3 linked regions of the Neodiprion lecontei genome follow. The protein of the gene in region 2 interacts with the protein of the main gene of each other region in a pairwise test. Links are inferred from orthologs where the notes say so. Each region holds a gene or a part of one and is shown on either strand. Other genes may lie near its edges. The genes, in order: ras-related protein Rap1, ral guanine nucleotide dissociation stimulator and ras-like protein 1.

What was found.
Region 1: the proteins of ral guanine nucleotide dissociation stimulator (region 2) and ras-related protein Rap1 interact in a two-hybrid assay, tested with the Drosophila melanogaster proteins (2 studies listed by BioGRID). The link is inferred for Neodiprion lecontei from reciprocal best matches to the Drosophila melanogaster genes Rgl and Rap1.
Region 3: the proteins of ral guanine nucleotide dissociation stimulator (region 2) and ras-like protein 1 interact in a two-hybrid assay, tested with the Drosophila melanogaster proteins (2 studies listed by BioGRID). The link is inferred for Neodiprion lecontei from reciprocal best matches to the Drosophila melanogaster genes Rgl and Ras85D.

What each region holds. Positions count from the first base shown.
Region 1 is NC_060264.1:31,047,773-31,052,960, forward strand, and holds the start of ras-related protein Rap1, read left to right. Parts: upstream 1-1,974; 5' UTR 1,975-2,593; intron 2,594-5,188. Other genes in the region: peroxisome biogenesis factor 10, read right to left, coding at 129-455, 527-778, 853-1,143. UniProt on the Drosophila melanogaster protein: Ras proteins bind GDP/GTP and possess intrinsic GTPase activity. Plays a role in photoreceptor cell determination.
Region 2 is NC_060264.1:21,917,600-21,922,906, reverse strand, and holds the start of ral guanine nucleotide dissociation stimulator, read left to right. Parts: upstream 1-2,172; 5' UTR 2,173-3,071; coding exon of another isoform or gene 3,072-3,101; intron 3,102-5,307.
Region 3 is NC_060265.1:20,932,722-20,937,637, forward strand, and holds ras-like protein 1, read right to left. Parts: upstream 2,724-4,916; 5' UTR 2,526-2,723; intron 2,411-2,525; exon of another isoform or gene 2,126-2,410; intron 2,047-2,125; 5' UTR 1,963-2,046; coding exon 1,834-1,962; intron 1,697-1,833; coding exon 1,553-1,696; intron 1,169-1,552; coding exon 965-1,168; intron 883-964; coding exon 778-882; 3' UTR 634-777; downstream 1-633. Other genes in the region: histone-lysine N-methyltransferase ash1, read right to left, coding at 4,826-4,916. UniProt on the Drosophila melanogaster protein: Ras proteins bind GDP/GTP and possess intrinsic GTPase activity. Plays a role in eye development by regulating cell growth, survival of postmitotic ommatidial cells and differentiation of photoreceptor cells.

The sequences.
Region 1 (5,188 bases), about 9.1 Mb from region 2:
GCATTTACTTTTTTCATGCTGTGAAACAATCTCCGTACCTAGTACATGTATCTAACGGTTTGTCACATTGGAATGGAAATAACGCATGCGTGTTTGCCACTTTTTTTTCTTCTCTCTGCCCGCATTTCTCAAATATTTAATAAATATATAATTCTAGATGGATGGGCATACTCTCTGCACAATGGGCACTGCGGTCTGGCGGCAAGCCAATCAGAAATACATTGCCAACAGAAAAGATGACCACAGGGTGTTGCGGTCGTTGGTACAACTTCGAGGCATAATTGGCAGCTACGTGAATCTGTGCCCAACCCTTTCGTGATTTCAACTGTTTTTGCCTCCTCAGATGCTGATAACTGTCGGCTGCTCCAGAGCTTCAATAAACATTGAGCGATCGTTGCCACCCCCAACAATCGCAAACCCCAACTTATCCCTTCGGCTGGACGACGGCCGTATACCTGCGAAAAATATTTGCAATTTTTACTATCAAATATGCTTTGAGCAGGGGTAGACAGTACGGTCAACGCACCTTGATATAATCAACACCAGCGATTCTTTTGCTGAGGCTGTAATACCGACCAAGAATATAGAAGAGACCTCGATGGGCTAGAATTACAATGGGAATAGCAGTTCTGAGTCTCGTCAATGAGAAATTTAGAATAGATTTCGCCTCGGGTGTTAATTCGTTTCCTGGATTGTTGATTGAGACCAATAGCCTGTCTAATATCCTTATCAAGACTTGTTCGCCAAAGCATTCCAATAGTATGGCTAACGTTCGTGCCTGAAAGATAATTTCAGTCTGTTTATAAAAACGGGCATTTGAATTCAGCGGATGTTCCAAAACTGAATACCCACAGCGAGCGATGGAACTTTTAAGGCTTTCAGGTCAGCTTGAATAATGCCAGTGTACTCCTCACCAATAGTCTGATTGTTCATTGCTGTAGTAGCAATGAAATAGGCGAATTTGGCTGGTAGCTCGGACTGTACGATGTGTAGAAGTAATTTGCTGCCACCGAGTTTGTGCATCAATTCTGATAAGTTTTCCCGCAAATTTGTAACAAACATATCATCCCGCTGACGGGCTCTTAATATTTCTGCCTGATTCGCACCCTTCGATCGGAAACCACGTGGAGTAACTCGCTCCATCGTTGACCTTCTAATTTCATCTGATTAACGGTAAGACCAAGAAACAAAAGACATTCGAACATTTGAATTTCTGTACAAATTAACGCAAGATCGCATGCACGAAGATCCGATACGTCTTCAAGTTTTATATTTCGCGGCATACGGAACTGCCAACTTAAAGAAAGTAAATTAATTTTCCGCACTCTCCATTGGCCGAGAGTGAGTAGAATTATTTGAGATTTTTGGCAGTTACCTCGAGTTTATAGCTCCGAAATAGGTAAAATCGACGCTCGTAGTGACGGAATAGAGCAAAAATTGCTGCTTAAACAGGTACGAAACAATATCCTGCTCGAATCTGGCGTTCCGGATGTCGTTCGGTGTGTGGCTGCGTATGACTAAGCGGTTGCGCTTACGTTGGTCGAATGGCTAGTGACGTCATCACATAAAAGCTGAGTGCCCATTGGGCTTGACCGACGTAAGGGAGCCCCCAATTGGCCGACGAAAGGTTACGAGAGAAGCTATCGGCGAACGTTCGTAGCGACGTGCCAATGGAAGACAGGGTGAGCGAGCGGCGACGAGCAGAGTAGGCATCGCCCTAGATAACGGTAGAATTGTGATTCGCCGGGCGTTACTTAAGGCCGTGTTATAAATTGATACGAACCGACAGAAGGAGTAAAACGTGCGGTGATATAGAGACTCTGTGGAATCGAATGATCCGTAAGAGAAAAAAAAAAACAACAAACTAGAGAATTTAAATTAACGAGTAAATGAACAAAGAAGTGTTGCGAGGAAAAAGAAAAAAGATACGGGATACAAAGAAAATAACAATAATAGTTAAAAAAAAAAAAAAACAACACAATTCAACAAGACTGTATAAAAGGTAAAATTAATTATTGTTATATGCTCGCGAGTTCGGCAGTAGTGCGGTGTGCGTGGAAAGGGTGCAGCATCGGCGACACGAGGCTTAGAGGGGAAGAAAATCTGTGAATGTAAAGTTGTAATAAAAGTTTCGTAGGAAGACTTTAAAGAGTTACGAACGAAAAAAAATAGAGAAAAGATATTCCTTCATTCGTGAACCGAGTATCAGTGTCACAACTCGACGACAATCTCGGTGTGCAATTGGTACGTACACCTACTCAACTGCCTGCCTGCCTACCTACCTACATCGTGACTCTGGGTAGTAGTGGGTATTTTCTCTCTCTACATGAAGTCATGGCGGTGTAGCAGCAGCAGCAACAGCAGCAGCAGCGGCGGCGGCGACGACAGAAGAAGGCAAAAGCGAACGACAGGAAACAACCGGAGAATCTAATCACAGTCAGACTTGGAAGTCGTTGCAACGAAATCGAAAACGGTGGACGTCGTAAAAAAACAAAATAAAACAACAACAACAACAACAATCATACACCATATATCGTAATTTCTACGGGAAATCAAGGATCCCCAGAGATACCAACCGCGAGATAGGCGTCAGGTATGTAACTAAGAAAATTACACACATCTACTTCATTCCGTCTCTCTTCGCTTATCTTCATCTCCGCACACAAGCGATGCATCAATTCATCCCTACACTGAAAACGCCCACAGTCCGAGCTCTCAAGTATCTTGTCGTATCTCATTTTAGCTCGACAGTCGATCCCATCCGCTTCCCTCTGGTCCTCTCACTATGCAACAAAAAACAAAAAGTTAATTCGCGAGTATTCGATAATCGGAATCGGATGAATAAAGGGAGAGAAAGCGAATTTTTCTTCTTCTGTCGTTTGTCGCATATCTAGGAATTTATTATCTACGATCACAGCAGCCGGATTTATCTTGCGTTTCGACCATCCATAGACTAAATACTTGATCCACATAACTGAGAGCGTTCCCTCCCTTCCTTTCAGTACCACGTTACCGATGTTCCTCTTTTTTTTGTTCTCTTCTGCTATTGCCCTTTTATTACTGTCAATCCTGTCAATTTCTTTCAATTAATCACGGTAACCAATCGCTTTTATCGGCGAACGAGGCTCGTTTTAAAATCGACCTATCGTACTGTCCACGATAAATAATTTATCAGTAATAATTTAGTCGGCTCTTTCACGTTACGAGGCGACATCTAGACATGCAATATATGGTTGTTGGTTGGCTTTACCGCAATTACGATCAGAACAAGTGACGACACGATTCAACTTACGGATACATACACTAAAAATAATCATAATCCTAATGTGACTCATATCATAAAACGCCGTACGCACGTATTATACGGTGTATCTATGCACGATGTAACACGAGCGTGTATAAACGTCATCCATTCCCCATCAGCGTCATCGCGGGACGAAAATCCTTCATGTGTTTAAGGGTCTTCGACACCCCCCCTCTGCACGTTGCGTGCATCACGGTCGTTCCTTAAATAAAATCAATTAACGTACTGCACATTTAATAATAGTACCACGCTTATACGGGCACTGATCTCGCACTCTCAAGATTACCTTCTACCCGATTTTTATAATTCACGTCGAATGATTTTCAAATATTCTTGACTGTTTCTCAGCTGTTACATACCTTCACACAGGTAACATAAAATCGAGTCACGAGAGCGGGAAATTTGAACTTGATAATAACTTCTCTTGAGATAAAATGCTAGTCATTTGTATAGACAGCATAGAATAATCTGTGTAATCGCACACGATTATATCATCGATGATTACACCGATCATGGAAATAAAATTCTTTCTTGCGTCATGCTTTTTAGACATCGATGTATCGATTGTATTTTTCTTCAACCTGGCGTCATAAACGAGGACTGTACGGGTCTCTCTACGACGTGTCTTGTTGCCAGTGTTTATCATGCAGGTTATTATTAAACGCAACCTCATTTACTCGTCCGTCAATATTGTACGTACTAATCTTAAACGTAAGTCGAATGAATATATAGTAAAATTTTTAAAGTTTTTAATGCACGTTATACAATGTAAAGAAAACTCGGCACGTTGTGTATGATTATTATATTATTCCATGGACTATTATCGGCTTCCAGCAGCAGGGGGAATACAATTAAAAATTAATTCACACAGCAACGAGAAGAAAGCAAACCACCCCTCATCCTGCAGAAAGGTACAACACGTATTGTGGGAGTAACATCGCGAAGTATACAGAAACAGTTGTACGTATACGTTACAAAATTATCAACTTGAAACCACTCGAGGGTGTATACATATGTACATATAGGTAGAGAGTCGTTACGTAAGTGATACCAATTATCCTTGGTGTGTGTAGGTATCTGGTTGAACTTAATCGACGAAACGATACACTCCATCTACTCAGTTTCGCCATTCTGGCAAACTGCAGGAAACAAGCAGCAACAAAGATAGAAAAAAAACACATTCCCTCGTAGATCTATTTCTGTACCATCTGTCATAATTCGTACTAATTTAAAGCGATTCGTCGATTTTCCGGTAATCCTTCGTACCAAAAACGGGGATAAACTCTACACAAAAATAATCGTTGCGCCTCCTCGAGCAGCATCAAATTTCAATCGATTATCCGAAGATTGATCTGTTATTGATTGATGTTTGTTTTTAAATCAGTAAACTTCAAGCGGTTGATATACTAGAAATAGTATTTAAATACACTTGTATAGAGATGGAGTTGTACCATTATTTAAACCTGAATTTTTATGAGTCTGAAACAACGGGATACGTTATGTCATAAAAATTTCTCTAAACGACTGAAACCGAGCATCCAGAAATATTCTATGCACAGATAAGGATATCGCATTACACAATAAAGCTAGTCGATGATGATATTATAACGATAAGAGTCGTCCGTACGTGTGTGCGTATGTTTTTCTTACATCAACCTATTTATCATAAACGATGTATAGTACGTTATAAGTTGCAAACGATTTATTAATTAGTTTAATTTTCGTTTTCTTTTCTTCTTTCGTTTCATCGACAAGAAACACACATGTGTTTCGAGTTGTTTTATCGGGGTTAACCGGCATTGATTTCGCTTTTTTCACTACCTTATTACACGTGTCCGATTTCGACTACGATATCGAGTCCCCTCTGACACTCATATGTGCATT
Region 2 (5,307 bases):
AAATGAAAGGACCACCCTGATACATATGTATAAATGAATAATGGTTACAGACAAAACAATCTCTACTATCGTGTCGACGAAATAATTCGAAATATAAGAATATAATTTTAATTATATTATATTATATAATATTGATGAATACAAATATTACATATGAAATATATATATGTATGCATATGCATATAGCGTAACAATTATATTGAGATAATTATGAAATTGAAGTTATAAGAATACTGGTATGAGTGCGAAGATTACTGGAATTCATGATTTATTATAATAATTATTATTATTATTGTCATTATTATTGTTATAAATAAATATTAATAAATTGAGGCGGTGCTATATATAATCCAAATATGTACATACGTATGTAAATGTATATCGCTCGATATATATGCGGAGTTGAAAATTTGTCCCATGCGAATTGATAAATGAAGAGGTGGTATACATTACATAGGTATATGTATGCGTATAAACATACGTATATATATATATATATATATAGGTATATGTATATTATTTTCTTTTACCTCTGTTACATTAAAAGATGCAAGAAATTAAATTTGAAATAATCACGTCTGGTGTAGAACTAAAACGAAAAAACCCGAGTATTTGGAAATCGAGAAAAGTAAAGGTATTATAATAATGTTAGTAACAAGCAGCCTATAATCAAGCAATCAACAGTTGATGACGTTTACAATGTTGACGAAACGTACAATTGTTAGTCTCTTCTGCAACATTCAATTAATTATGTGTTTAGGTTGGTGTTAGGTCTGCGTATGTAGTTCTCGCGGTTTTTTTTTTTTTAATGTCGCGTGTTTGTACCTTGGAATTTCTTTTTAATCTGTTATGAATAATAAGTGTGTGTGTGTGTGTGTGTGTGTTATATATGCCGTAATAATCAGCCAAAAAATCACAAATTCTCAGAAAATGTTGACACTTATGTTACCGTTTTGTCCAATTTTTTGGAATTCGATACAAGCATTTTTGGGCTGATAATTACTGCTGATAATTACGGCAGCGATAAGAAAACGATTAAAAATCCCGAAAAACCAATGCTTTTCTTATGGGAAAAAGTAAGGCTTTTTAGGCGTGGGTAAATATGGAGGAAAAAATTTTTAAAAATTCGGACATTTTTTTTTAATTATTTCGAACCGATTTGGAGGGTAAGACCATTAAAATTCGATTTTGCCCTTCTTAAGGACAGGTCTAATATATATGTGTATAATGTATATTGCTATTACTTTTCTCAATTTTCCAACACTCAGTAGTTTTCGTCTGTATTCGTTCTAGTTCTATGCCAGACGTGATTGTTTCAGATTCAAATCCTTTCATCTTTTAATGTGATAGTGGTAAAGGAAAATAAAATTCAAACAAAAAACACAACAAAAGCAAAATCAACAATGAAAAGAATGTTGTTGTTTGCCATCAAAGTGTGAAACAAGATAATCTTAGCTAGGGTTTTTCAGGTACGTACAAAACAAACAAAAAAACTCAAATCAGTCGAAGGTTTTATTTATTCGTTGGATTGTACTAAATGGAGTAATGTTTTCACAATATTGAAGACTCGTATGAATGCTAACGATAATAATTATCAAAATGAAGCTCAGACTACGGGTAAAACCCCGCCATTAATCCCGTGGAAAGCTTAACCAAACAGAATCGTTCGCACAGAAAATTTTGCCGGGATTTGTGAACCGTAATTGCATATTTATACGTCAATCGGGAAGAAAGATAAGAGGACCATGGCCAGTGTGATCGAGTGAGATGCGCCTCAAAATAATGACGGTGAAACAATGAGATTTAAAATCGGAGACATTGAACATTCGTTGAAAATATTTATAATGTGAAAGCTGAAGTAGGTACGCATAATTTCAATTCACGGTGACAAGAATTGAGGTTGCATGAGATCGTACCTATACACGAACATACGGTTTGTTTGAGAAATATTTTGACACTACCAACCTACCGGTATTAATGTAATTAATAATCATTAGCATCAAGTGTGCAAACAACACCTTTAATGTGCCGTTGCATCATCACGTTTCGCAAAACAAGTATGCATGAAAAAAGAAAAAAAAAAAACAATCCAAAATGGCATTGCAGGTTTATTGCAGGACCGACGCAACATTGTTGCCGACAAGACGAAGAGATGGCGCTGGGATCGCCGAAGCTAGCGTCGGACGGTGAAAGCAGCGAGCGTACTGTCGGTCAGCAATGCAAAGCGCCTAATAACGGGAATTTCTGCATAGAAAAGACGGTGGAGAGGGAGAAACCAAACGTGGGAATGGCGTCAACGGGCAGTTCGGGAGTAGCAGAGCCGACGACGGTTCGTCGAAGTGAAATATCGGGCGACAGCGCTGCCAGCGGTTTTCAGTGGACAAATTCAGTCGCATCGATTCGTGCGGATCGAGGGTTCATAGGGTCTGTGCCGTCGTAGTGATCGAGGAAAGGCAGGAAAACGACCGACCGACCGGACTGATCGCGAGACCTGCAAATGTCGTTGACGTTCTTTGGCCACGCGTAATTCGTATTTCGTGTGCTGCGTTACGTCCTTTGCTGAAAAGGAGCACAATAATTTCGAGAATAGGGTGTCCAGTGCTTGTCTTCCCGGCCACAGTGAAACTCCATACCAACACTTCGGATGACAGGTGTCAGCGGCAGCGAAAGCACCATTGATCCTGTCTCCGTATGTGCTCAACTGCGAACTGTATGCACGTTATTTATTTATTTTTTTTTCCCATGTGATCAACGACAGTGAAATGACTGCTGATTGGTTCTGGATAGGCCACATGGAACAGCGAGAAACAGCAGCCTTATCATCGACATCGTAGGAGTGAAGCAGCGGAAGTTCCAAAGAAGAACGGGCATCACCTCGATTATAAAACACAGTGGAATATGGATACCATTATAATGTCGGAGAGAAGCAGAGTGCTAATTATTGTCGAATCGTTGAATTCTTTAAGTCCCGGTTGTTTCAGTGCAGCAGGTTGTGAGAAAATCTTGGAGGAACCTCCGCGAAGAGTCGACAGTAACAGGCGCCCGCATTTACTACGAAGAGGATCTGTGCTATGAGTGGTGAAAATGCTGACGACTCCTTGGTAATTTGAGTAGAAAAAACCAAAATAAAAAAAAAATCATCCATAAATATAAGGAAGACAACGATTATTTTTTCATATCAAGTCGATGGCGGTTCTCGATCAGCTGTTGTCACGCACACTAACGCACGGTCTTTAATTACTTTCCTTCTCTTTCTTTGTATAACAATTATTTTCTCCTTGGTATATTCTTTAATAAACTAACATATCTTTTACCATTGGTTTTATGTGGTTTAACAATTTCACACAGCAGACATACCTAGTATTCCCCTTTTACCCTTATGCGCGCTAGCTGTGTATGAATTTTTTTGTGTCTGACTCTTTCGCTTTTTTTTTTACTAACAACTACTGCACTCACACATCTCTAAACAACGAACGTTGAAGTATAGAGGTAAACTGGGAGTGGGTACGAACTACCATAACAGTAAAAGCCCGCCGCCTTGTTGAGCCAGCGCTGATTTGTCGTACGCAAATTTTGAGTGTTCATGTGTCATGCGAATTGCGCAAGTCCGCATGAGAAAAAGCAACTCACGTTTTTTAAAACAAAACTGGAGGGAAAAAAATCTTGATCTTAATATCTTACCTTTCATTCAAGACTTCGGTTTGAATTTTCAAGCTGAAACACTCAATACGATTTCCATGCACTGTTCAAATGAGAATTATTGTCAATGATCTTGACAATTAGGAAAGGAGTAGTAAGGGAAGAGAGCTGAAAAGTATTGAGGGGGAAAAATATACTGGACATGAGAGAAGGTGAATTTTTATACAAAAGTATAATGCATGATATGGCCTCATGGTCGAGCCGTTGCCTCAACAGTAGGACCTTCACCTTGAAAAACGTTTCATTCGTTTAATACCAATTATCACTGGACGTGTTAAGCTCTGAACGGTCTGAGTATATATTACACCATTACATATTTGAATGGTGTGAACTAATTTCTCTCGAGTTCTTGGACTGTTCGGAATTGAAACGACAGTAAGATGACCCAAGGGATAAATCATGATCAAACTTTAGTCTGCCACACTGCGTTTTTGGAACGAGTAATCGCTAATCGGGAAAGGCTGAGGCATCGGTTCAGGATTCGGGAATCCCGTGAAATTAGGATAAACAGTGAATTGCAGGAGAGCAAAGCGGATGAAACTGAAGACGAAAAAACTATCTAGACCGGCGTAAAATGGCATGAGAATGCGGTCTAAGGATTGCAGATTTCCTTTCTATATTCCCGTACCGTGAATATTTCTAAAGTCTGCGCGTTGTTCTCCCACGTTACGCGAATCATCACGGGAAGTGAAATGAAAATTACGGCAACAATTTGCTCGGTTTGCAATATGGAGAAGACAAAGACGGAAAAAGAAGTAGCTGTAAATCGATTTTTTGCATTGATGTATGGAAAAAAGTTATTAGTAGAAATTGTTCGTTTTTTTTTCGTTCGCGTTGTGTTAAGCTTCTCTATAAAACTTGATCCATAAAACCGGTGCAATACTGTTCCGTTATCCGGTTGAAACGATCTCTCCCACGAAAGTTGACTCGAATTTGCAATATAAATTATCACCGTCTTCTTTGCCAGCGCGGAGTCCGTTTCATATAATGTACATGTACAGATACGTTGTGACCCTGATATTATATTAATCTAAATAATCAGCACTCATAAGGCTGTCTGCACCTTCGAATCGTCATGAATTCAGATTGAAAGTTCACGCAATTCAACCGGAACACAGACAAAAGTTGAAGCTGAGTGATTATAATAGAAACTCCAAGTCCTATTTCAATAAGCTGCGAAATGAGTTAGGAAAAGATGATGGGACAAAAGTTCACGCTATTCGACGATAATTTTCATTCGGCAAACGGATCTTTATACCATGTATAACATCAGTTAACATGGAAAAGCAAAATAGCTGTTTCTCTGAGTTTCCAAACGATTCAAAACTCCTTCGTGCCGTCGTACAACACAGCTGGAGTACGTCACGAATGGCATATCTTGTTCTAAATGTGTCAAGTTTATACACGATACTGTACGGTCGAAAGAAGGTAGGCGCGTCGATCGAGGAATGTCGAAGTGAGAGAATCGCGTGTACGTACATGAATGCGTTGCGCACATCGGCAAACCGGTGAGCGAGTACCGTGAATACCGTACGTCATACACGCCTGAACTTCCATACACACTCGTTCAGATAGCAGCCGCTGAATACGACCGATTCTCTTACCAAG
Region 3 (4,916 bases), on a different chromosome or scaffold from region 2:
GAGCATCCCTTACACGTTTGACCAAGATGGCAGTATCTTATTTTGTTAAATAATTTTACAACCAAAGATATTTTTTCTTCTTCTTCTTTTCAATTATGATTAAGCTTTCGTAAGCGATGGATGATCACACTATCTATGCTAGGATGAACCCAATATTTGTGTGGGTCAAAGCCTTAGAAATCATAAATCGAAGTAGAAAAAACATGTGTGATAATATTCAAAACCATATGGATAATTGCAACCATTTTCCAATGTATACATCACTATTTAATATTCACTCACATAAAAATTAGTTAAAAAATTCTACCATATATGAGTAGCACTTCGTATATAAATGAATTATACTAACAATTTATTTCAACATTGCTATAGTGCGTAAAACATTACTGCGAAAATTGTGTGATTTTATGCGTATGAATATAATTTTAAATTGTACGATTACATTATTTAACAAGTTCTTAAGAGATAATTTTTCATACTTAGCTTAAGAATGGTCAAAACCCAAATAAAGTTTCGAAATATAGATAGTTAATCCAGTAAAATGTTATCATTATTTGTAAGATAAGATTTGATACTACGAGTAAAAATGTATTGTGTAATATTGTACAATCATACATCAATCGTTTTAAAAAATGTTGTGGTGGCAGCTTTACTTCGCGTTTCAAAGTGAACTGCACTAATGTGCGACACAGTTAATTAACCCAACGGTTTTTTTTTCTTTTTACATTATACTCGCGCTTGTATAGTATATAAAGGTAACAGAAATTAGTTAACCATTTACAGAAGACAGCAGCGATGCCTTCGGCGTCCAGAACTTCTTGCTCTCATACGCTTTCGTTTTTCTTTGCCTCTTTGTTCTTTATCACTTCGGATTTCTCTAACCTGAAAGATATAAGTGATAACCAGTAAGATTTTTTACCACTTGCACACTTTTTCATCTTTTACTATGAATCACTTTGCTTACTAGAGTATAGAAAGCGTCGTCTACTCCCATTCTAGTTTTTGCGGAAGTTTCAACGAATGGTACACCATACTGACGAGCTACTTCTCTCGCTTGCGTCATATTTACAGCCCATGACTGAAGGTCACATTTATTCCCAACTAACACCATTGGCACCTCTTCGGCATCTTTGACACGTTTTATCTGTTCTCTGTATGTTCCAATGTCCTGTGTAATGCGAAGAAAGCAACCAAAGTTAGGTCAGTGTAATTATAGTGAAGAAAATAAAAGAATGGAAAAAATTGCTTAAATATGACAAACTTTACTATACCCTGTAATTAATTACAATAAAACCTCTTGATTCATACTCTCAAGTTATAAATACTTGTCACATTGATAAGCTGAGAAGATATCATTGCAAGTGTGAAAAGCTTTGCTACAGACTCAAGGGATATCTGATGATCAGGTTAATTGAGACAAGACAACTGTGTGATTTTTTTTGGTTACTGTGATTTTTACTAACTACATTATTTTGTAAGTAAACATCGCGAAGATTAATAATTTTCTAGCTTACTAAACAATAAATGTATCGAAATGCAGTATTGTACTTACTTCAAAACTTTTTGCCGAATTAACAGCAAAGACTAGTAGAAATCCTTCACCAGTTCGCATGTATTGGTCCCGCATTGCGCTATACTCTTCTTGGCCAGCGGTATCTAAAATATCCAGCAAACAAGTTTCCCCATCTATAACAACCTGAAAAATATGAAAATAATTAAGCTAAAAATAAAGAGTATTTGTCTATTTCTAGTGCATTGAAGATAACTTTGATTGAAAAAAAAATTAATTGTATAACTTATGCGACAAAATTTTTGAATCCAAATGTTAGTTACCTGTTTTCTATAAGAGTCTTCTATTGTTGGATCATATTCATCTACAAAGTGGTTCTGAATTAGTTGTATGGTGAGCGCTGACTTGCCAACACCTCCAGCCCCTACAACAACTAGCTTGTATTCCGTCATGACAGTCTTTTTAGTAAATCTCAACTTGAACCAAAGTACCGGACCTGAATGATGCTGGGTCGTACACTGGTTGAAAAAAGATACCTGCAAAGTGAAAAAAGAATCTTCAACAAAGATGATGGAGAGCAATTGATCTTCACTAATTGTAAGAGATTCTATCTACCTATTTATGTCTCAAGGATGGATATTATGAAGTATCCCATAGAAAGTTCGCGAAAGCAAAGGAAAAATGCTGAAATTAATCTTGCAAATGTTTCGAGAAATAAGAAAGTGGTATTTAAATTTGTGTTATATTGATTGGGTATTTTGAGCTAATGAAAAACTTATTAAAGGTTATTCGCACAATCGTATTGTAAAATACGGTAGTTGATTAGAGTTACGATGATGATAAACGATATTTTGTTATTATCTGTCGATTGGTTACATCAGATTTGCATTTTCTAATCTGTCAACGATCTGTAAGTGAGAAATAGGATATGAGTTGTGAAGAAAGAAAAAAAAAGTAACACTAAACAGGGCAAAGTAAACTTGAAGTTGAGGATAAAAATGTTTCATATACTTACTAAAGCTTGCAGGGCATTTCACTACAGAGTTTATTTTCAAATTCTTTTGTCACGACAATTGTTTAGTCACTCGCTCGAGCTTAAAAGTATAAATTAATTTAATAAAATTAATTGTTTTGATGAGTGTCGCCTGCCACAGCCTTAGAGCATATAGACATTGAGGAAGCATCGACGCTGGAAAACTGTCTCCGAGTCAGTGACAGAGAGAGACATCGTAATATTACATGCGCGCTCTGTCTGCGGCAAGAGCGTACCTGTCGTAATTGAGTGCCCCGCGCATTGCGTGGATATAATCCGGATATGTATACACATACACTGATTTCTAGTAGATAAGGTTATTGAAACAAACAGTTAATAATATCAGTATTTAACATATTTTTAAATGAAAAATTTTAATTTATGAATGTGGAACGGGCATTTTCTCCATAAAGTGTGATGGAAACGCGACGTTTCAATGGCATGATTTTAGTAAATAAATTAAACTTAATAGCAGCACTCGAACTTCTGATGCTCCTGGTATGCACTACGAGCAAAACAAACTATTAAAGCCTTTACAGCCAGGAACCGGGATCCTGTGATACAAGCGTGAGTGCTCGGAGCACTAGCGTAAGTCGGCCAATCGGAGCCTGCGAGACAGAGAAGGGATGTAGTATTACTATTTCCCTCTCTGTACCGTTTTCCACTTATGCGAAAGGGTATACCAGGACTATATGCTCTAAGGCCACAGCCCACTTCGCTACTGCCATTAGTGAGTGGTAGTCACAAAAAACTCACCCAGTTCGAATCACTACCGGTAAAATAGATAACAAGATATGTTGCCATCTACATGTTGGTCAACAAAGTAGGAATCGGCCACTCTTCACGTATTATTAGAGGATACCATCATTTTTCGTAAAACAATAACGGAATGAAATAATTTTGACCCCTAGGCACCCTAATCTGATTCATAAAAAAACACGTATTCGACGATAGTGACATATAGTGTTAATTGTAGGCTTGACTTGCTTTGAATTCGATTGCGAATCAGACGTATTTACAGCCTAAGATCACAGCATGTCTTGGAAACGCGGATCATGGAACGGAAAAAGAATACGGGTCTAATGAAATTCGATTTAAAAAAGTAACCGAAGGTTTTGCAGCTTCATCATTGTACCAAAAGTAGAGTTTTCCATTTTTCATTTTAGATCACTCTAGTTGCCGTAATCATGTCCGTAAACGAGTCGTGCGGCATCTACAGCGCATTGTTTATATAACAATAAATATGTTCTTTATGAATTTTTTGCAATAGGAAAAAAAAAACAAAAACGAGACATTTCAATACTACGTATTAACTGTGTGCAAAAGTTCAATCTTGGCACCCGAATACCTGAGTGAAAAAGAAATATGGAAAATAGACTCGTTTTTCGAAGGTTATGCTTACCCCTTAAAATTCTGTTACAGGCCTTAGGGAAGAAAGTAAAAATAAAATAAATTTACATTTCATATAACTTACTTCAAAAGTTTATACATAAAAAATATGTTAGCCTAAGATATGAATATAATATAAAATAAAAACTATTAATAAGAATATTAAATATAACGTAATAAATATGCAATCGTAAATGTATATACAGTTCAATTTTAATCAAATTCGTCGATCATTTTGGGTTATGATGATAATGTGAATAATAATTTAAATACAATATAGTCAATAATGTACCTATCTTCGATATAATATTATATTATACAATAGTCTTCTCTAACACCGGGGTTATGAAAAATATAATTATTAATTTGTGCAACAAGCTTCATTCATTCTTTTTCTCTCACACGTATTCGATAATTTGTACAAGTAATTAACTATGTTCTTAACAATATCGAATCGTATAATAATAAAAATAATTTATAAACAATTCTGTACAATATTGATAATTAATAAATTAAGAAGAAACATCTTAACAGCCAAACCTGCAATTTAATTCAACATTAATCAATAAATAGCATTTCATTGATCTCTGACTTCGAAATCAAGTTCTTTTCAAAAGTTTCTTCTTCCAAAGTATTTAAATAATCATTCATTTCTATAACTAGCAAAAGCTGGATTTTTCTTTTACTCTCGTTTTTCCTTCCTGAAATCTTACAACAGCACGTGGACAAATTTTGTGAAATGTTGTCAATCTTAAAAAATGTATTCTAGGTAATAATATACGAAATCGGCAAATATGTACGCCCATTAAACGCGGGGTTGGCTGTAATGCAAAAACGATACTCTACCAACTACCTGTAATAATGTGACATTATCATTGGGTTATCAACCAATGTCACGGGTTAAGTCCACCTGGTCGTTTACGATTTCGTCTATTTCGTTCCAATAGGAACGACAAATCTAGGGGATCCTTTTTATTTGGCATT